Linked DNA regions of Caenorhabditis elegans. The protein of the gene in region 1 interacts with the protein of each later gene in a pairwise test. Each region holds a gene or a part of one and is shown in the gene's direction. Other genes may lie near its edges.

Region 1 (6,461 bases):
AATAGGCTCATTTTTTCTTGACAGTTGTTTTCTTTGATTTTTGTAAGTAGCTTCCATTTTTCTCGTAATATTTGGTTGCACTTTTTTGCTCGATGGTTATGAATTAGAAAAAAAATATATTTGAGCGTTTCACATATTTCATTTCTCATCTTCGACTGAACGAGACATGTATCAATTGAATGTGTATCGGTTATGTTACTGCAAACTTTTAAGCGGCAAAGCTCTACTCTCACCCCAAAAATTTCGATCTGAAATTCTTTCAGTGCACTTTTTACTTCGCAGGCTTGTAGAATTGCTGCAAATTTTTTTTGTGCAAAGTTTTAATGTTTTCCAGAAAAAATAGGTAAACATTCTGGGGCATTTTTGAAAATTTTCAAATTTTTTTTGCAAAAAATTTTGTGCCGAGTGGAGTGAAGAAATTTTCAGATTTTTTTCAAAAAAAAAAAAATTAAAATGAAAAAAAATTCAGAATATTTACCTACTTCTAACCGTTCTGAAAAACATTGAAAGTTTGCACAAAAAACTTTTGGAGCAATTATACTCCAAAGTAGTGAAAAAATACACTGAAACAATTTCAGATCAAAAATTTTGGGGTTGAGAGTAGAGCTTTGCCGCTTAAAATTTTGCAGTGACATTCGTATGGAACACTTTCAAATGACACATATGTCATTTTGAAGTCTGACCGTAAAATGAAAACCTTTCCTTGTTAGCTCAAATTATACAACGACCAAATTTTTACCTGTTGTAAAAGTTAGGCATTAGGTAATTTTTTTTGAGATTTTAAAGATCCCCATCTTTTTCTCAACACACAATTTGAACTGTTAACTTTTAGAAAATATTAGAGAAACGTGCAATCTGTTCGTTTTTCGGCTGCTGTTCTTATTTCTCCGCTCCCCGTCTCTCCCCTCTCTTTTCAATTTTTTGTTCTGCCACCACCACCACCAAAAACAACGGACGGTATCTGAGGAGAGGGGGGGGGGGGGGTCTCCCGTCTGGAGTCTCGGTCTGTATTTGTCTTTCACTACTCCCGTGTGTTGGGGGGTATGTGTGTGTGCTGCGTGTGGTTGTTGACCGAGAGGCAGTGAGAGAAAACGACGGAGATGAAAAAAAAATCTGTCGGGCCTCTCTGACACGCTCCTGCTATCTGCCTTATCTCTGGCGAGAAAAAAATACGAAACTTTTCGAAATATTGCCCGCAAAAGTGGGAGGGCACGAAACTCTGTGAGGGGCACAACGAGTAAGCGAGTGATAATCATTTTATGGGTCTTCCCTGGTGCACCTTCATTAGAGCCAGATTTTGGTAATGTTGCAGACTGTGTTTTGAGCGCCGTCATGAAGAAAAGCAAACATCATTCCCAACGATTGTGTTCGATATTCCTCCCTCTTCCCCTCTTCCCCATATTCCGCAGCGCCCGTTCAGTTTTTTTTGACACATAAATTTTTTGTTGTTGTTCTTTCTCTCTTCTTTTATACAACCATTTTATCATATTTCAACAAAAAGTTATATTTATATTCAGCAAAACATACAAGCTCACAGTGCTCAGCTAAGCACAAACTCTATAAACTAATTTAAAAGTGCAAGTTTAGGGCATATGGGCGAGTTATTTGTCATCTTGCCACTTGAAAGAACTCGTTACTGGTTTTCGATTTTTTTTCGAGGAGAACAGAGAGAGAGAGAAAATTTACTTTTTGCGAACGCTGCACAATCTTACCCTGAGACGCTCGAAAGTTACCGTGAACCCCCATAAGCTTTTTTTTGATAAACTTTGGTACTTTCTTGGTACTTTTGTCTGCCTCAGCTGTTCTTCGCAATTTTTTTTGTCAAAATTACACACTTTTCTGATCTTCTTTGTTTACCGCTTTGCACTTTTTTACTTCCCGCGGACCACCCGATGAAAGATCAGCCGGGACTTGTAGATTTTTTCACACTTTTATCTCACTGGATCTCTTGAAAATTCTATCGTTAAAAAGCAAAAAGCAATTTGGACGAAAAAGTCAGAATATAGGTGGCCCGTTGAGAGACGGCTAAACCGTTCAACAGCGATACGATCTGCGCGATAAAATTGTGAGAAGCAGTGTGAAACGCTATGAAAACCATGCTTTCTTAAAATTTGGGTGGGAAAGGGGCATCAGCAGCATGCGGGGCATATTAGGAAGCCAAAAAGTTTCCGAATCTGAATATTTATTCCAGTTGCGGGCCAAAAATTGAGAAAAGCTTTCAAAAATGCAACTGTACTGTTATCTTATAGGAAATTTCGAATTAAAAAATATTTAATTAAAATTTCAAAAAGTTACTATGCTGTAAGTTGAAGCCTTAAAAATGAACATATGTACAAGTACTTTAAAATCAAAAATTTACTTCAACTCTTGATAGTGCTATGTGTCTGAACTTTTGTTATCTTGTACCGGATTCCACAGAAGTTCTATGAGACCACATCAGCATCTGCCTGATTACTTTTTCAAAAACTGTGCTAAACGTTTTTGTGCACCTGATAAAACAGCCGTTAACTGCTGCTGATAAACTATACGTCTGCCAGTACCACCCACAGCTCCGCCCCCTGCCCCATTATTCAATTTTTCGTGTTCATCACTTCGGCCGCTCCGCAATCGAACAGTTCCATTTTTTCCGAACGAGACGCAGAGAAACACCCTCCATCCTCACCCGCCGTCCGATCACAACGTCCGCCTTTGTCCTTGACAATTGGCTCGTCTCGTTTGGACGGGGTCCTGCCCTCTTCTCCCCTCCACAAGTAGTTCCCCCACCCCATGCCACAGTGGTTTGGTGATGGTGCGGGCCGCCGCCGCCGATCAGGGTGTGTATACGAGTATGTAACTGAGTGTATGAATCTGTGTATGTGTGTGAGTGTGTGTGCACATTCTGCTCGCTTTTTCTCTTTTATTCTGCCTTCCAATTGATAATGCAATTGTGGGGAGGGGGTCAAGGTATAGCAACACATGTTGCCAGATGGTGAGACAAGAAGACTCAGCCATCATTATCAGTAGTTTACAAATGATTTCCTTTTTTTTCCTCATTTCCCTTTCCCCCCTCTCATCCGTGATATATCCTTTTTTGCAGTTGCCATTTGATATTTTGATACTGAATAGCTCTAAACATCAGACCATCTTTCATATGCTTATCAGCTTATTTTTAGCCCCAATCGATCTTTGAGACAAACTGAAACATGTGACCTTTTGTCTCGTGCAGTTTCAAATGTGTCTGCGCTCACGCCCCACTCACCCCACTCACCGTCTTCTTGCTATCAGATTTTCGTACCACTTTCTTTTTTGCAAGGATCCAATTCTCGATTCAATTTCCTTTTTTCGCCTCTTTAACTGTATTTCTTTTCCAGCTTGGGTCCCCCTTCATTCATATTTATCAATTCACAATGGCTCGTCAACCACAGCCGGTTCTGAGCTCTTCTTCGCGAATGCAGTCAGCTCCGATCAACATTGCATACAGTAATCGCGACGATCAACAAGTCTGGAGAGACAACTACTACCGGTGGAATCATCAGCAACAGTTTCAGTTTGATGATGATCAAGATGAAGACGTTCAGCAGAACCATCATTCCGAAAATGCAGAGGATCAGTTCATCATGATGCAAAACGGTTTCTCAGGAGGTGTCATCGAGGAGATCGAACAGACAAGCGAAAACGACAATCAGCCAGATGAGAATGACGTCAACGAACAAATCGGAAACAATGACGAGGCGATAACACAGCAAAAAATTGCCGAGATGAATGATGACCTCTTTGAACAGCTGCTGGCGGAGAACGAGCGCAAGTTACGGCAACTGATCAGCTACGTTGAGAACGTTCATCTTGTACTCAAATGAGTCATTTATCTTTTTCTCTAACAAGGTGAGTTGTTGTTACAAGTAGTATTACTGCATTGGTACACAGTGTCGGCGTTGACAGGCGATTTATGCACAAGAGGGCCTTCCGACATCTAAGTACACTTTGTATTCTGAGACCATGCAAATGGTGGGAGCATACATTATGCAATATTAGTCTAGGAATATTTAATGTAACAAGAGACTTTCCGTATATTTAACATATTTCTTTGATGACGAAAACACTTGTGTAAGCATAGTTCAAATATTTAAACGATTTTTTTCAGTATTCCCCAGTATCTGCATTATATTCGTCAACAATTAAAGCAAAGCCAAAAACATTTCCGTCACTCAACTCAACAATGAAAGAAACCATTGCCAATCACATTTTTCTCCCGTTTTTTGCTTCCCCGTTCTAAATATCCCCGTTCAACTCTTCCCTCTCACTCTTCTCAATTGTATTCTGATACCTCCTGCACTTTGTGAGCGTGTGTGCTCAATGACAAAGTTGACCTCACGGATTCCACCTTCAATTTCTCTTCTATCGGACTCCCGCCGAATCACCTCACATTACCATAATCATTGCACATTGAATAGCTCGTTTCACACAAACCACAATCTTGGGTCGCTTCTTTTTCTCCTTATTTCTTCCACTTTTCACACCCCTTAATTGAATATGATATTTTTTTATGACCATGAGATACATACACTTCCGCATAGTTTCTACGATGATAACTTTTTGTGATTAGCATTTTGTATAGATGTCCATTTCTCCCCCCTCATCCCTCCTATCTTTCCTCCTCAATATGGAAACAAAATACTACAACGATGTAGAAATATAGTTGAACACTTTGTGGTTCAACTGATAATATTAATAAACCTTGGGTATACATTTATCTGTACAGTTGTCACAAGATGATTGATAGGTTGATATGTTGATAAGAAGTTATTGAGAAAATGTTTTGTCACGTGCTAAAAAGGACAAGAAATTCAAAACAATTTGTTTTCTTACAATAAAAAATTTGAAACGACGCAGTCGTCTGAGAATACTTTGATCTTGACGTTTCCTGGAGATGTCTGGCAGTTTAGGTCAAAAAACAGTCATGTGTCCGTGTCCTTTTGACAGGTTGCCTAGCGGTCCCGTGGCTTTTTGATCTCGACAACACAATACGGCGTATCATGCGGTTGGAAATAGTTCAGACCTCAACGAGCAGAACAACAATGCCGACGATCAAAAATTTAGTTGCATAAAATGTAAACAGCGGGTTTGCAAACGGGAACAGTCGAGATGGGTGTCACGATGTGTATTGGTTGGCAACATGCCAAGGTTTAGTTTGCAGGCTGAATTGCAGGTTGACGTCGGATATTTTATCTGAATAATTGGTTCCTGGTCAGAAATCGTGTGTTAATTAGAGATCCTTTAAAGATTTAAGAGGAGTACCTAAATCTGGGAAATATTTTCAAATGACTCCAAATGTTTCCCTGATTCCGAATATCTGAAAAAAAATTTCCCTGATTTTATATTTGAGCTTAAAATCGCGATTCTCATTTGCGTCCCCATGAGCTTTTTCAAATGCGCGCCAAAATAAATTATCCTTGGAGCACATTTGCCTCATTTAATTTTCCCCATTTATTTTTACTTTTTTCAATGTTCAATCGGCACGAAAGAATATATTTTTCAAAAAAAAATCCGATAATATGCGACAAAATTAAGTGAAAATTGCTTAAAAACTGAAAAAATTAAAAATAAATGGAGAAAATTAAATGAGGTAAATGCGCTTCACGGATAATTTATTTCGGCGCACATTTGAAAAACTCATGGGGACGTAAATGAAAATCGTGATTTCAAGCTCAAATATAAAATCAGGATAATTGTTTTAAATTGTTTCATATAGATATTCGGAATCAGGGGAAAATTTGGAGTCATTTGAAAATATTTCCCAGATTTCCGTACTCTACCTTCAACAATTTTCACGTCCTTTTCATACTTTTTGAAGTAATCATAGTTTTACTGAACCTTGAAATTTATTTTTAAAACTGGTGACTAATTAAACATCTGTAAAATTGAGATACTGTAAAAAATTTCCCTTTCAGTTTTGCGTGAAAGCCTAAGTTTCTTCAAAAAAACTTCTTCCGATGCTTCATTTCATTGATATTATATTTATGTTCAGATAATCAAATTCCACTTTCTGGCGCTGCCGCCAACCACTTCAGACGGAAATTCGAATATTATTCCCATACCCAAATAAAAAGTTTGGCGCCACTAAGGAAGCACAAACACACACAGTCATCGGTCACATGAAGATTAGTGCCATGGGTAATTGAACACTTTTTGCAAAAAAAAAAATACCGTCACCACCGCTACTTCACTTCTAAAATTTCCTTTTTAGCACATATATCACGTGACTTCCGCTCATTACTTGAGACCGAAATTTCAATTTCAAATCAGCTATCGGCGCTGCAAAATGCAATTTACTCTTACTATCACGCCGTCTACCGCATGCCATTCAAATGTCGTAAAGCACAATCAGTTCTTATCAAGTGGTAATAAAAAGCAGACTTCTATAGACAATAAGCGGCTATATTTAAAATTTTTTAGATTGACAGGTAGTTGGAAACAAAAAACTA
Region 2 (7,742 bases), on another chromosome or scaffold:
GGCATCACTCCAGTTTATGATGGATAGAAAAAGTTGCGTAATATAACATGGGAATTAAACATTATGTAATAAGGAGATGCAACGCAATATGTATGTGTTCAAGGGTTTAACAAAAGTCAAACACGTGTCACTACTTTTTCGATCTCTGGTAACCGCAAAAAATTTGGTTTGAAGATTTGGCTTTGCCTCTATTTTATCAGTAGTACTAATGGGAAAAAGTGGATGTAAATCTGCTTTTTTACCTACTTGATTATTTTTACTTCACCACCTCCTTTCTAACCAGTATCAAATCTAATTAAATTGACCGCCCGTCACTTTCACCTCTTTGAAGATAGAGAAATAGAGCCCCCAATTTTAATTTTAAAGTATTCCCTCCCGCTTTGACACATACTTACTTTACTTGTCAAGATGACACGCTCAATTAGCCCTTTTCATCTCCTTCTTATCCAAATATTCACCGCGTTGCAAGATTTTGGAAGGAAGTAACTAGAGTTTTGAAAAAATGTAAAAGCTTGGCAGAAAATTGCCAAATTTTTGGCAAGAGGTACTAACGCCGACATATGTTTGCAAAAATATACAGGGAATTGCACAAGTTCCATAGAAAACTATCAAAGTACAGCAGAAAGGTGTCCCTCCAACTGTGAAAATGTGTGAAGTTCAAAACTGAATATTTAATCTAAAGTTCAACTTTGAGCACTTTTTCTTATAACTCTTGCTAACACTGCAAATCATAAGGTGCATATAGTAATCTCAACTACCGTAACCCAATTTTGTCATCCTGAAGAACTGAAATTCAATAATAACTTTCTACCTCCAATCAACCGAAAACGCGGTAAAAACTTTCGCCAAACAAAAAAAAACGGCAAATTGATTAAGACAGTAAGACAGCAAAAAGGGGGGAAAAGACGAAGATTGTCATCTGAAATTGGGCCTTTCAACACTTCAAAGACAGTGAAACACAGAAATACCGTACCTTTTTGAGAGACACAGCAATGTCGAGCCCTCGCACGGGCCGCTTCAAGATTAGATCTTTTGTATGATCATCAGGAGAGTCTCTTAAATTTCAATTATATTTTTCAATTGAAGAAAGAATATTCAACATTTGAGGCAAGTCATTTCTCCCCTTTTTCGGCCTCCCCTTAATTAGTTTTGATAGAAAGGAGAAGGGTGTCATATACACAAATTGGCGCATCTTTTCATTAATTGGATGAGAACAGGTATGATACGGTAGAACACAAATGTTTCTGATTGGTTCAGTTATGACAATTGATTGATCTTTCATAGCGTTCTTATTATTACATCGAAATATGCTTGCGTGCCTGCCTGCCTACAAGGCTGGTGTAACTCATCTGGAAGACCACATGGTGCATCTTGACTTGCTTGATAAAAAGGCCTTCTTAGAATTATTCAATTGCAGTGTATTATTATAATTTAAAAACAACACTTAAAAGAAAAACAACATTTTAATTATTATTCAATTTTTCTTTGTGTTTTTTAAGTCTCAATATTCGAGAAGAAGATTAGTCATATTACAAAAATCTCGGCCTACAGAAAAACTACCGTAACAACCTCGATTTTCTAGAACAGATATCCAGATTCTTCACCTACATATATCATCATTCTCTTATCTTTTCCTTCTTTTACACTTCTCTGATAAACAGTCTTAAATCAGTCAATTGTCTCACTCAGACAGATTTCGCGCATCCAGCCGTAAATGAAGCATAAACCAGTCAATGTTATGGTAATAAAATCATGATGATGAGAGGACAGTGGTAGGCGAGGAAAGGTTATGCAACGGTCGATGACACGTAACCGTTATTCATCATCACAATCCTCTCAATGATGTAGATGACGAGATTTTGCAGATTGGAAGTGCATGGATAAGTGAAGAATAGTTTACAGGGAGAAGGGTCTCGGATTCAGGAGGATATATTATATTAACTTTACAATCTGAATCGTGTGGGTCTTGCCACGAAAATAGTTTATATTGGAGCTTTAATTTTTATGGCGAGCGCTTGTTGTTATCCTTTATCTTGGCATCTTAAATTCGAAAAAAAAGTACCAATTGCACCCCATTGCTCAACTTTGACAGCTCATATCAGTTGGTATTTGTTTTATTGAAAAACGGTCAACTGACAAAACAAAACACTTGCTATATGTTTTTCTACATTTTTTAGTTTAAAATTTATTGATATTTTTTAAACGAACCAAGATATATCCTTTCAAAGTAACGTAGTTGCGTACTAGAAGAAATACGGTATCAGAATTTTTTTCTCGTGGCGAGGCCTTTCGAATACATTTTATGCGCCTTTGAAGGTGTATCTTTGGTAAGGAAATTGTTTAAAACTACTCCGAAACTGCTCAAACACCCAAATCTCATAGTAAAACTTTTTGAAATTTGTTAAGTTTATTTTCACTGATCATAATTTTTGGAAGTCGGCCAAAAACTTGTGGTATAATTTTTTTTAACTGAAATTGCGTTTCAAATATTTGTATGAAAATTCCAGTAGTTAGAACCTGTAGCATTGCTCGATACTTCTCAAAAGTCTACATTTTTGGACAATTTGGCAATTTACCAAAAGATTGACTGAAATTTTTAAAAAACCCAAATTGAATGCGTTTTTGAAAAAAAAAACACATATTTTATTATTTGTTTCTGAAATTAATATCCATGCTATATATCCACGTGTGAGACACTAATAAAATCTGCAAATATAAATAACTACAGTAATCCTGATCCTCTGGGTGTCATATCCGGCTTGACGTATAATATGGACAAGCTCAACGTAAACATTGCGCAACTTCTTGTCAAACATCTCACCATTTTCAAACATCTCATCAATCATCCACCATAACCTTCCTTTCAATTATTTTAACATGCAGAATGCTCGTCTCTCTCCGGATCGATACGGTAGATATTAATCTGAATACATTCCCTTGCGATTTGGATGTTATTTCCCCTTTAATGAGAGAATCTTCACACGTACCGCACCGCCAAAATAGGTATTTTAATTGTGTCAAACGGGGCATTCAGATTGAGGCAACTGATTTGTTGAGTCCAATTTGCCGCAACACAATTAATTAAAATGAAGGCGGATAAGAAAAAGGAGACGGGGAATGACTGAGAATTTTCAACAATTTGATTTTCACGAGATAAGTATGAAAGCGGCGAGGAAAAGGTAAAAGTAAATAAACATACAGGGAGCTTAATATGTTTTAAGAAAGAAGCTACAGTAACTCAGGCTTGAAAACCGGACGTTTGGTTTTTCATTTTTAAAGTTTTCATTCATCAATCCCAATTCAAAGTTGTTTTATCAAACGAACAACAAGCTTTCAAAGGCCTTTTTATAAATCAAATTTCATTTAAAAGTGAATTAACATTTTAATACTAATTCAGAAAATATAAACCGTAATCTTGTCAAAATTAAGAAGGAGGGAGACGAATTTCTTTGGATGGGTCTCGCCACGCGGAACAGTTTGGTATATGCGCCTTTAAGATTACTGTAGAAAATTTTAAAGAAAATTTCGGGTTTTAATCCAATTATTCTCTTCGATTTCCTGTTTGCTCGCTGATTTTCTAAAATTATAGCTTTTAAAACAATTTTTACATTATTTTTGCATTTAATTCGTTGATCTGCACCTCATCAAACGACCTGAATCGATCTCACCTTGCTAATGTTAACTTTCACAATTTCATTTTGTCTCTCCCCTCGTTGTTATCGATTTTTACACATTTGGTTCTCTCTTTGAAAAGCTATTTTTCAACATCAATGAATTTTGTTTCAGAATGAGCTCCGACGAACAAAAGCCCGAAGTTAATGGATATTGGACGGTAATAATTCATTTTATTACAATTAACGATAATATATTATTGCAGTCCGTGAAAAATTTCTCTTCGTCTGCCGCTACATCAATTAATAATGCCACCACATCTGCATGGAACTCGGAGTTTGCCGCATCGACGTCAGCGGTCAGCATATACAATTTTCATTGAAAAAAAAAATCGAAAATAGAAATAACAAAAATGCGTTTTCGTATTGAGGCATTTCTCAGAGAAATTTGCCTTTCCAGTAATTACAGTAATTAAAAAAATTATTTTTGAAATATAATTTTAAAAAACGAATGAATAGATTTTAAATGTTGTTTTCTTTTTCTTATTGCAAAAAAAAGCGAAATATGAAATTCAAATTGTTCAAAAATTCTCATTAAAAATGTTTATAGACCGTGAAGGATTTTTCGACGTCTGCCACGAAATCGATCGGAGAAGCGGCAACTTCCGCTTGGAATTCGGAAACTGCATCAACGGCAACATCGGTAAGTTACCCTGTAAATAAATATAATTTTCAAACATATACTTTTTATTGTAGGCTATTTCTGAAGCTGCGAAAAATGCAAGAAGCTGGTATGATAGCTCATCGGAAGAAAACGAAGAGGTAACGCTTTTGTTTCTGAAAAGAGTATTTTTTTGTCTTTTCAGCTGGAACCTTCTGGACACGGCTTCAGAGGAGGAATCGCTGCACTGAGTAGAAATGCGAGTCACTACGTGATCAGTACAGTCGGACGGTCATCAAATATTCTAAACATCTTCGACAAAACGAACAAATCGAGCCTTGGAAATCCGAGATGGTGGATCCGATTCGACCGACCTCATGGAAATGTTGATTTCCATCACATTAACATCAACAAAGCAGTGACTGGACTGAAGGATCCTCATATTCCACTCACACCGACTACTGCCAAAACTATTGGAGTGCTTGGAAAAGTTGCAGAAAAAGCAAATGATGTCGCGCCACTGCTCACGACAGCGGCAATGATCTACGAAGCCTACCGAGTTGGACAAGAAGTCCACAAGGATATGAATCATGGGACGACAAGAAATACAATCAAAACATTGGCTGCGACGAGTGGAACTTATTCCAGTGGATCCATTGGAGCTTATGCTGGTATTTATTTCTACTCGGTTTTTATTTTCATTTAATTGTTTTTTTACAGGAAGTGTGATTGGAACATCAATTTTTCCCGGATTAGGAACGATTTTCGGGGCTGTCGTCGGAGGAATTGTTGGTGGACATTTTGGTGGTCACTACAGTCACGTGGCAACAGAAAATGCGTTGAATCATGTTAAATGGGACGTTGTAACGTTCGTTTGTGATGGATGTGATGAAGAATACACATGGAAAAAGTATCAAGAGATTGAAGGAACCTGTTGTGAGTGCTATTCTGATAAAACAATTTTAATGGAAAACGCATTTTCGAAAATCATAAGTTGGTACTTTTTCAGGTACAAGATTCAACAACAAGAGGCAGGATTCCGTGGATTATTGGTTCAAAAAGCTCGAAACAAATCATGATTTTTAATTCCGATATTCGATTTTCACTCTTATTCTTATTATCTTCACATTTTCACTTTGGCACCCATAAGCTAATAAATTGTTTGAAATTTAGTTTAAATTGACATTTCATTAATAGTGTGGTGTGCCAAATATTTCCTGAAAATATTTACACGTGAGAGAATAATCGATAATTATCGGCGATCTGAAGAACGGAGACGACGAAATGTGAGAAACAATAGTGTGTAATCCTTTTGGACAACGTCTATTAGCTCAGCCTAAATAAAATAGCAACTTTCGATTTTCGGTCTGCGAACACTTTTCAATTTTGTGCACATTATTTTTGCTAAATTTACATTTTCCAGAAATATGAGTAGTTCAAACGACAATAAAGGGAAACCCACAACAAATGATCAAAGTGGTAAATCGGTGAGTTTTAAAATCTCCTTTTCTAAAAAGGAATCTTTTTTTAAGAAGAATTATAAAAGTTGAACATATACCTTTTTTTCTTTGTTAAAATTGAATACTCAAATTTTCTGAATAATCCGACTGAATATGGAATAAAAGGAGGCGTCACTGCAATAAGAAGAAATGCGGTCAAATATTTGATTAAAACCTCGGGTAGAAAATCAAATATTTTGAACATTTTCGACAAAACTAAAATATCTTCTCGCGGAAATCCGAAATGGTGGATCAGATTCGATCGCCCTCATGGAAAAGTGGATTTCCATCACATCAACATCAACAAGGCAGTTACTGGACTCAAGGATCCACATCTTCCTATCTCTCCACTGCCAAAACTGCTGGAGTTCTTGGAGATGTTGCTGAGAAAGCAAATAAAATTGCTCCAATTTTGACGACTGCCGCTGTGATTTACGAAATGTATCAAGTTGGAAAAGAGGTTAAGAAGGATTATCATCACGGAACCACACGAAATACTATAAAAACAGTGGCAACCACGGCGACAACTTATGCAAGTGCATCTGCTGCAGCATTGGCCGGTAAGTGTTGTAATTTTAAAAGATTCAGTAGAATTTTTTACAAAAACTTTATTACAGGAAGTTCCATCGGATCGGCAATCTTTCCTGGTATTGGAACGATTTTCGGAGGAATCATTGGTGGAATTGCCGGGGGATTATTCGGTGGACATGTTGCCGAGACAGCTTCAGAACAAATTCTAACTCACGTGAAATATGATGTCACAACGTTAACCTGTAAAGAATGTGGAAAAGATTATGATTGGAAGAAGTACGAAGAAGCACAAGGAGTTTGTAGCTGCCAACTTCAAATTGTTCTGAGCAACGACGCTGCTACCAAATTATGTGCAATTTTGGCGGAAAAGATTCAAAGTCCATCTCAAACTTCAAATTATGCATTTAATTCTTACCTTTGTTATTATTATCTTCACATTTTCGCGTGTCTCAACAAGATTTTGAATCATAAATAAATTATTTCTAGAAAACAAACACTCAAATTGAAATGGCAAGAAGTGCAGATGAAAATTCAAATGAGAGAAATAAAAAGAGAAAAAAGAAAAAGAAAGAAGATGAAGGGAACATGGTATGGAACAATTATTAACAATGCTCACAGAAACAATTTAGTTAACTCAAGATCCAGCTGGTGCAGCAGTTCACATATCATCAGCTGGAGCTCAAACAGCTGGAACAATTGGCGGAGAGGGTCTCACAACGATCGCGCAAGCTGCTCCAGTTTTACAAGTTGCTGCAGTTGAATACGATGCTTATCAAATTGGGAAAAACGTGGAAAAAGATAAAAGGAGAGGGACAAGTAGGAATACTGTTAAGAAAGTGACCACTACAGTAGCCACGTACGGTATTGGATTTGGTGGAGCACTTGCAGGTGTTCTTTCCATTTAAATCTGAAATTTTGAAGAAGCTGAATATTTTAAGGTGCTGCAATTGGAACTGCAATTTGTCCAGGAATTGGAACTATTGTTGGAGGGATTGTGGGTGGTATCACAGGTGGAGTTGGTGGTGGATATGGTAGTGGTAAAGCAGCAGAAGCTGTTATGGATCAAGCAGAATATGATTCGTACAGAACTACATGTGAAACATGTCAAAAACTATACAGATGTTCCAAATACATTGAAATACAGATGTTCCAAATACATTGAAATTTATTAAAATTTGCTACACTGAAAACCTTTATTCAAATCTCCGCCATTAAAACATTTTCAATTTCGATAGAGCGCACTTGCATTAAACTCATTTTACTGAATTTTTCGCTCATTTTTCATATTATTTTTCTTTCTGAATTTGTTTATAACCACGCTTCGAGCCAGAAAATGTTATTTTTTCATTATTACAGAATTTAAAAACATGGGAAAACGCAAAACAAAAGAAGATAATGCTTCGGAAGACTACGACGCGAACGAGTTGATGATTGTGCCGG
Region 3 (9,355 bases), on another chromosome or scaffold:
AAAAAACCAACGACGATCCAAATCGAGAAGGAGATCATGTGTATGCAATGTGGAGTGATGTTGATGAAGTTCTTCTGAATCGAGGAATGGTTTGGGGTAAACCAACAGCAAGAATTCCAGGTAACCAAAGTTTTGCCGTTCTTTAGAAACCGTTTCAAAATTCAGGAATGAACGGTCGCTGGATAAGTGATCGTAATGGCCACGTGGCAATGAAGGATCTCACAGAATTGAGACAATTCGAAGCAATTGTTCATCATTCGATTTAAATGGTTTATTATGTTTCAAAAACGGTTTTTTCTTGTTATTAATTTATTAATTTATTTGCTCTTGTTGAATACGATTGTCTGTACATTTGGGTTTCCTTGCAATAAAATATTAATTTATTTTAAAACAACTTCCAACTGTCAAAGAATATTCAAAGACACCAATTATATGCATTTCTAAACATTTTGATCCATGGGGAAAGTGCCACTGTCTTTTGATCGAATCTTGCATTCCATGGAACCTCACTTGACTCCGCCCATTGCCACGTCAAGAATGATCTGTCAGCATGTGGCATCATAGCAAGATGACGTCCGTCCCGACTACAAATAGCTGCCACGTCATCAATGGATCCATTGGGATTCCATGGGTACGGTAGCTTCACGGATCCATGATCAGCGCCAGTCATTCCTCGATCATCACAAAAACGAATACAGACTTGACCATTTGTCTTCAGATTTTGGAAGTTTTGAAGGTTACGGTAGGTGAAGCGACCCTCTCCATGAGAAGACCAGAGGCCGAGAACGGAGTTTTCCATTCCGGAAAGCATAATGCTGACGTTTTTTTCGATCTGAAATTTTGTTTTTGATAAAGAGGAGAAAATTGTTTCGGTTCAATTTTTTGCGAAAATCGAAATCCTTAGAATTTCAAAACGAATTAGCATAGTTCCAGAAAAACTCCAAAACTTCACAGCCCTTCATTTGGATTACTCACTTTAACTGGCCCAAAACTGCTATCAAATCTCCCACATTCGTTTTCATCCAAAAAAACAGTAGGCCCTTTCTGTTCTTCATCCCCAATCCATCCCAATTGAGCCATCAACTGACATCCATTACAAACTCCATATGAGAATGTGTCAGGTCTCGAACGGAAAGCTTCGAATTGCTTTGAAACAGACTCGTTGAATTGAACACCGGCAGCCCAACCTGAAAAATTGGTTTTACTGAAATAAAAAAAAAAATTCTAAAAACCTTTCGCAGACCCCAGAACATCAGCATATGAAAATCCACCCACAAACGCGACACCTCTGAAAGAATAATGGATTGCTAAAAGGATTTGAAATTCTCAGGAAAACCTGTAAGCTTCCAAAGTGTGCCCAGCCAAAATATCAGTCATTGTGACATCGAATGTTTGGAATCCAGCAAGAGTGAATGCAGAAGCCATTTCTCGATCACCATTCGAACCTTCTTCACGGATTATAGCGACTCGTGGGGCTACAAATTTCCTACTTTTATTCGTTTCATCTTCAGAAATATTTTAATTTTAAATTTCCAACAAAAAACTGTATTTTCAGAAATTTCTAAAAATTTGCAAAACGACATTTTGTCGGAGGTTTATTTTAAAGTCGTAGGCAGTAGGCGGATAAACTTCCCAATTATTCTGATATAATTTTATTCAGCACTACAAAAGTTCAAAATTAAAAAAAAATCTGAAAAAGTAAAAATACAAACCTGTAGAAAAGTACTGCTCATTATGAATAAACGCTGGATTATAATACCAATCAAAATCACATTTATAATTGATCTTCTGACATGTTCTTCGAACCTAAATCATACATCTTTAAACTTAAAACCATTATTAAACTTAAAATCCCAAACCTCTCTTGCTTCCTTCAAACTCTTGGGATTTGTCTGAAACTCTCCCAATCGATCTCCAACCAATTCCCATTCTTCTCTCAAATCAACCAGCTTCTCATTGATTTCCAAATGACCATTCACATGGATTTTTACGTGGGCATCTGGACCAAACACGGCAGATGCTTTTCCAATTTCTTGGCATTTAATTCCAGCTTCAGAGAATATGTGCAGAACATTTTCAGGATTAGAAACTTCCAAAAGTATGCCACATTCTTCAGCGAATAAAATATCGATAGGCTTGATATTCTGGTTGGGGGGCTTGATATCAATATCAATAGAAACATTTCCAGCAAATGCCATTTCCAGAATAGCAGTCAAGAGTCCTCCATCCGATATGTCATGTCCTGAAAGTTAGATAGTTTGGACGGACAGTTAAAACAAAAGGCAGATTCAATAATCCATAAAAGTTGTGATGTTACCTGCCAAAATAATTGGTTTTCTCAAAGGCCCTGCCAGCTCTTCTCTATTCAGTAACTGTTGAACAATTGAGAACACTTTAGAAATTTCCGAGAAGTTCTCAATATCCGGACAGTCGTCTCCAATCTAGAAAATTAATTTATATTTCTTCAATAAATATATTTTGCCTATATGAATACATATTATCAGACTAGAGAAAATGAAAATCTCAAACCTGTGAATAAACTTGTGCCAGTGCACTTCCTCCAAGCCTCATTTTCTCTTCGGAACTTCCAATCTTGATCCACAAGATTTTTGAACCGGGAACAGCTTTCAGCGATGGATTCACAACTTTTGTAACATTTGTGCAAGGAGCATATGCGGAAAGTACAAGAGTACCGGGACTCTGGAAGATTTAATTTTAGATTTTTCATTACAGAGCCACCAAAATTGGCATGACACGAAATTGAATACGTTTGGAAAGAAACCGAAAAAAGTTCTCAGCCGAAATGAATTTAAAATTCTGTGGCATTCTTCTCGTATTTAAGATGTGTCAATTATTTCCTAGTCAACTAGAAAAATGTGCTCATCCAAACCTTGACCACTTCTCCATGGGCGGTCACCGCCATTGATAACGAATCTTTTCCTCCGTCAATCGCACATCCAATCTCACGAAGTCCACGACAAAGAGCTCCAACAGCATCAACTAAACGAGCCCCTTCTCCGTCACATTTTGCAGCCCACATCCAGTTACCCGACATTTTTACGTCCTTCAAAGATAGTAGTAGTTTTTGGAATTTGCTATAAAAATATATAAGAAAGTGTACTTTTAAATCGGTAATTGGTGCCCAAATGAGGTTCATTATCGTCTCCGCAATACACATTCGGGCTCCTTTTTCAGCGTCGATTAGCATTTTTATGGGTTGTTCGCCAAGAGACACGGCTCCACCAACCTGCAATTTTGACATGAGCAGTTAAGTCTTTTATTCTGAAATTATTGTAGATGCGGCAGAAAGTTAACGAAGTGCGCCAGAAATCTTCTGTGACTGGGCAAGTGGCCAGCCAGTAAATTCTTTGTTATGTTTTCCTAAAGATCGTTCGAAACTTCTCTGTAATGTGGAAAAGGTTTTATACAGCTTTGTACTGGTTTTCAAAAGCTTATACCTTTTTGAGTTTTTTTTTCATATTCTCGGTCATATAGCAAGCAAATGAAACTACGTCTCCCGAATTTTGAAAATCCCTTTACATCTTTTTGGAAAAGTTCCCGATATCGAAGAAAGAAAAACTTGACCACCATTGTTTTTTCTCGGACATGGCGCAAAAACCGACCTGTACGACAACGTGCAATTTTTGAACTTGACATCATTTACCCCATTCAATTTAGTTAGGGTCTTTGAACTCTTTTTTTCAACTCCCCCCATTTTGCTCCTTTATTTCCGGAAGGCTTCTCATTTTCCGGGTGGCTCCAAAGGGCTCACTGATGCATAAAATGTGCCATTCTTTTCAGTTTTCCCCCCTCCTCTCAACTAAGCTCAAACTCTTTCGTTCTTCAATTGTTTTCGGTAGTTCTTATTTTAGTAGGACCCCCCGTTTTCTCCAAAAATGTATTCACACAAGGCTTCTAGTACAACAACTAAAAATCCAATTTTCTTCTCTCTTTGTTCGTCTTCTAATGTCTTTTTGATTCCTCTTTTTGCTTTCCGAAATTTTTTGGACGGATTCCGACGGCAGAAGCGGGAAAGAGAGAAGAATTTGATGCAAAAATTGGATTCCGGAAAAGAAGACGGAGAAATATTTTGGCTGTAACATCATCAACCTAATGAACTGCCATTGTTGCCTGAGCAGAATGACAATGAAAAACGTTTGGTTGATTGGCTTTTCCATTCTTTTTTTTCATTTTCCGCTTGTTAAGCTCTCGTTTTTGGAATTCTTGGACATTCTAATGAGTTTAATAGTATTTTCCATTTAATTTCTGTTATTTTCCATTTCTGTTTGAATTTTCCGAGAAACTGATGCATAGAATTAGGCTTAAGCTTAGGGTTAGGTTTAGGCTTAGGCTTAGGCTTAAATTCAGTTGTTCTCCATTACCTATTAACTCTCAACTTTCCATTTTCCTTGTCCGTTAACACAAGTGATTCTCACTTTTCCAATCTAATCACGCCCTCTTCTTTTTTTTGGCTCCAACGACTCCGCCTCCTTTTTTGTGCTTCACCAACAACTATTGTTGCAGCAGTCAGTCAGTGAGACAACCATGCACATCCTCATCATATTGCTCTTTACGAGCATCATCTCATCGATTCAAGCAGATCTTTGTGCTCATTGTGATTGTGATTTTATATCTCATACAGTTGTATGCAACCGCCCGTCTCTTTTAATTCGAACAGTATCGATGCTTCCAACAATTCGACAACTTCATCTTAATTCATTGAATCTCCCACAACCACCTCATTTCTTATTTCATCCAAATCTTCGAGTACTTCGGATGAGTCGATGTGGAATGCATGAGATTCCAGGAAGTACATTTTTACCACTGCCAGGTTTGGAGGTAGGCAAATTTCTTGAAGGCCTACATAGATTTGTTGGTGTTAGTTATGTGTAACCTGAGTTTTACAAACTAAAACATTATAGCGCTTGATTTTTATTTTTGCAAGCTCAATACAAGTTGAGGAAAACCTTAGTTTGAGAAAGAATGCCGGACGTTGTATCAAATACAAATAAGTAGGACTTCAAAAAATATTAGCGTATCTAAATGTAGCTGCAGACTGCAAGCTATACAATTTTGAATTATTGAAACTAAACAACGAAATATTTCAAAAAATCTGTAAAATTTCAGGTGATCGATCTCTCAAACAATCATCTAGAAACTCTTCCACCTACAGTACTTCGCAGTCTTAAATTTCTTCGAGTCCTTATACTCAGTAACAACCGATTATCAAATCTGGACCAACTCACATGGATTCTTGCACCGGGAGTTGTTCTTGAACAATTAGATTTGTCTGGCAATCCAATTGCAATTGCAACATCAATGACTGTTTTTCCACCTGTTCGACAGCTTTTCCTATCCGATACAAGAATGGAAAGTGTGAATGAAACTGCGATTATGTTCAAGGTATTTTTGATTTTCATAAACTATGTCGCAAATAAGTTTTGTGCGAAAATTTACAGAATGTGCTAACTGACACTACAAAGTTAGACAATCTAGTGCTGAGAATCTAATTTGTAAAAGTTTTCAAGTACATCACCACTCAAGAAAAACTACTACACTACCCGAACTTTATATGTATCTTAAATTTCCAGAAACTCCCCGGAAAATGCGATAGAGATGTGTGCCGTCACATTCCAATTCACAATTTGAATGTTTCAATTATCACTACAATTGATTTTTCATCGAATCGAGATTTGGAAATCGATTCCGGCGCATTGGATGTGTTTTCGAATGCAACATACGTGGATTTGAGTAATACAAGATTGCCAGTTGGATTTGAGGAATGGTTGGAGAGAAAGAGTCGAGTTAAAAGCTTAAATATCAGCCACTGTCAGGTAAACTCCTTAACTTCTTTCAAACTCGAAAATAGAATCAATCAATGGAAGCAGAAAAACAAAGATATACAGGCAAAAAGTAGGCGTGTAGGCAAGAAAAGGTGCCTACCAAGGTCACAATAAAAATAACGAATCTCGATAATACTGTGCCAATTTCCAGCTTCCCCTTCATGAAGACACTTGGACCGCATGTGGTCAATTTCTCCATTCTCTCGATATATCCGGAATCGGTGCAAAACGACTGAGATTCTCAAGATTTTGCCCAATTCGGTAATTCCTTTCCCAATTCCTTCAATACCATCCTAATTTCCAGATCAGTATTTGCCCGTGATAACTTGATATCCTCCGTGTACATTGACGCTGTTTCCATGGAATCTTTGCATTTGGAGAGAAACATGTTTAGTGAATTCCCTATTCCACCACCAGGTGTTGAGTTGACCGAGCTTCATACATTGGGATTGAGCCATAATTTGATGACATCGTTGCCTCCGCATGCTCTTCAATCTTACCCTAATTTGCAACATTTCGATGTTTCAAGCAATCAGTTGAGCGAGGTTTGTTTAGGAATATTTTTGAAAAATTAAATAGTGTCAGCAAATAAAAAAGTGTCTACAAATAAAAAATTGACGCTATTCTATTGTGTGCAATTCTATATGTGTTGCCCACCAAGCAGCTGAGCATTTTCATAGTTTGAAAATTCTTCATATTTCAGATAGATCCTCAAGCCTTCCCATCAATTGGACTAGGACTGATATCACTTGATTTAAGCTCCAATCAACTATCTTCTCTTCCTCATCCAATTCTTCCATCCCTGCTACTGCTGGATCTTTCCTTCAACACAATTTCTCATTTGGATCCACATTTCTTTACGGGACTTCCAATGCTTCAACAACTTCGAATCGCTTCAAATCCCACTCTATTCTCCAGATGCCCAAATCGGGATTCTCCGTGTTGGAGTGATCATTTGGATGAGCTTACTTCACTTGTTGATTTGGATATTTCGAATTCAGGATTAGAATTCTCTCTTCATTGGAGACATTTGAGAACTCTAAAGTCACTGATTCTTCGAGGAAATGAAATTCGAATTATTGATTCAAAATCACTTCCAGAGAATTTGAGGACTCTGGATTTGGGCGAGAATCGAGTGCAATTCACATCAAACTTTTCGAAGTTGGAGCATTTGAGGTTAGTCGGGAAGAACTTTTTGACCAGTTTAAGTAATAATAATAAAAATTCCCATACGGTTCCAGTATCGTAATTTTGGAATTCTATAAAACCGTTAAGTCAGCTCAAAAAACCAAGAGGTATTAGTGGGACACGAGTACTAAAATTGTAATTTGATATTCATGTTCTCAACTTTCAGAGATTTACGAGTTGATCAAAATCCTCTCCGATGTGATTGTTCCCTGTATGACATTGTGCCACATCTTCTAAATCAAAGTCAAATATCTGATCCACTACTCTATTATTGCTTCTCAGGTATTTCAAGATTAACTTAAACTATAAAGAAAAAACAATTTATTACAGGATCCTGGCAATATCCCCTACTTCCGTATCTTGCGTCAGTAAAGCCATGCGTTGACACAACTCGTAACTTTTATTCAATCCTAATAACCACATTTATCATCGCATTCGCCATTGTGGCAGGACTCATTGGTGGTTTCCTAGTGTATAGAAAGTATGCGGATCGAGCCAATTTTGTGTACAAAAGGATATCACTTATGGAATCGCCAGTCAGATTATAAGTTCTTTATAATCTATATACGTTATTTTGAAACGGGTTACTTTATATTATCGATGTTTAAATAAAACTGTATGTATATCATGATGATGGTACAATATCCGACCTTTTAAGTAGTGGTACATCATTTTCGTGATGCGCACATCGTGCTCGGTCCTCGATTACAATGAGCCCACGAAGGCACGAAGGACACACACCCACGAAGGACACACACACACACCACACACACACACACACACACACACACACACACACACACACACACACACACACACACACACACACACACACACACACACACACACACACACACACACATTATTTTCAGAGACTGACATTCCAATTTTTGTGGAGGAACAAATCTCTGATCTGTTCTCCTAAACAACTTGATTGAGGTCATGACAAAAGTTGGATCTTCTCAAAAATGTTGAAAGCTGCATAATCAGAGAAGATTTGTCATCGGACATGTCAGCAGCAATGCGACTCGTCCATTCTTCCATTCAAAACTTGTCCCCGGGGAAATCGAAAACGGAAATCTGACACGAGAGAAGAAGTCCCTGCTCTTGCTCTCCTTCTTTTTTGCAACAAAAGGGTCCGACTTGTTGACTGTTTACTTACGACCCGCCATGGTTCAGTTATAAATCTGATTCTAAACGAAAAAAAGGGGAACAAGAAGACGTTTTTTTTCAGATTTACACACTCATAAATTGTATTACAGAATTTGTGTCACACAAAAATGAGTAGCAGTTGGGTTGAGACGACGAAAAACTAATTTCCGACTGAATAAAACGAACGATGAAAACATTTTTTGTTGGGGTGGGTAAACATGTATCGGGATTCGTAGATTGTTTTGTTAAAGAAAAAGTTTCTGGAAAATGGAGAAATGCTTAAAATGTTGGTACTGTAATGGAAAAATTCTTTTAAATTTGAATTTTCTTGGTTCCAGTCTGAACTTGTTTGCCCTCTAGAAATTAATTCCAAATGACATTTTTTGACGGTTAAAATACTTTTGGTTTTTTTAAAGTTTTTATACACCTTCCTTTAAGGTTACTGTACTTGAAAGAGGAAACTACTTAAAATTGCTACATAAGATAGTAAAACTTTGTGGAGCTTTAAAGTTACTTTACAGTTATACTTGGTTAATTTTGTTCAAACAAGTTTCTTGAGATAATTGCCTGATTTCATAATTATTCTTAATCTGAATTGGACAAGAATTTCAATAAACCTAACCGTATCAAAATGTGACAGAGCCACGACTGCTACATCAGCAAGTGGGGTGTGTAGAGGTCCAACACATTGCTGTTGAGCAACCAATCCAGTTACAGATCGGTCTACTTTGCATGTCAAATATCTACAAATAAAATTTTATAATAATTTTTCTAGTTCAGAATTACCTTTTGCTAGCAACTGAAGGCAACATCAAAACTCTTTTCAGAGCTTTTCTTACTGTCAGATTTTCTGGTAACTCTAGTTTCTTCAAAACCCTCGGGGCACTTTTCAACTTGAACACCTTCTTTTCTCGTTCTCCAAGTTGCCGGGTATCTAGGTCAACTGCAATTTCACCAGATTTCCCAAGGAGCTTGACTCTTTGCTCTTTTTCTACTTCTCCAACAACTGACACATGACATTTTTCGCGTTTGGAAATGGTTTGGAGAGCATCGAGAAGTGATGCATCTACAAGAGCTGCGTCGTTTTCCTGCAATTAACCTAGAGATGGAAATCTGGAACAAAAAAAAATTGACTATGAGTTGAATGTTTATAACAGTTTTTTGCATAAAGA

What was found.
Region 2: the proteins of M163.1 (region 1) and C13G5.2 interact in a two-hybrid assay, tested with the Caenorhabditis elegans proteins (one large-scale study listed by BioGRID).
Region 3: the proteins of M163.1 (region 1) and lron-5 interact in a two-hybrid assay, tested with the Caenorhabditis elegans proteins (one large-scale study listed by BioGRID).

The regions. Positions count from the first base shown.
Region 1 is NC_003284.9:14,500,750-14,507,210, reverse strand, and holds M163.1 (uncharacterized protein), read left to right. Parts: upstream 1-3,386; coding exon 3,387-3,836; downstream 3,837-6,461.
Region 2 is NC_003281.10:8,614,484-8,622,225, reverse strand, and holds C13G5.2 (uncharacterized protein), read left to right. Parts: upstream 1-3,763; 5' UTR 3,764-3,787; coding exon 3,788-3,832; intron 3,833-3,877; coding exon 3,878-3,970; intron 3,971-4,221; coding exon 4,222-4,314; intron 4,315-4,367; coding exon 4,368-4,433; intron 4,434-4,477; coding exon 4,478-4,943; intron 4,944-4,992; coding exon 4,993-5,208; intron 5,209-5,281; coding exon 5,282-5,358; 3' UTR 5,359-5,452; downstream 5,453-7,742. Other genes in the region: C06E1.11 (uncharacterized protein), read left to right, coding at 6,016-6,331, 6,389-6,777; Putative ATP-dependent RNA helicase rha-2, read left to right, coding at 7,670-7,742.
Region 3 is NC_003281.10:4,618,507-4,627,861, forward strand, and holds lron-5 (LRRCT domain-containing protein), read left to right. Parts: upstream 1-4,522; 5' UTR 4,523-4,545; coding exon 4,546-4,839; intron 4,840-5,127; coding exon 5,128-5,403; intron 5,404-5,591; coding exon 5,592-5,834; intron 5,835-5,994; coding exon 5,995-6,104; intron 6,105-6,147; coding exon 6,148-6,388; intron 6,389-6,443; exon of another isoform or gene 6,444-6,546; coding exon 6,547-7,019; intron 7,020-7,197; coding exon 7,198-7,313; intron 7,314-7,361; coding exon 7,362-7,579; 3' UTR 7,580-7,662; downstream 7,663-9,355. Other genes in the region: lips-3 (Lipase), read left to right, coding at 1-120, 166-266; pfas-1 (putative phosphoribosylformylglycinamidine synthase), read right to left, coding at 416-832, 976-1,187, 1,233-1,288, 1,337-1,475, 1,713-1,806, 1,860-2,242, 2,318-2,441, 2,530-2,700 and 4 more.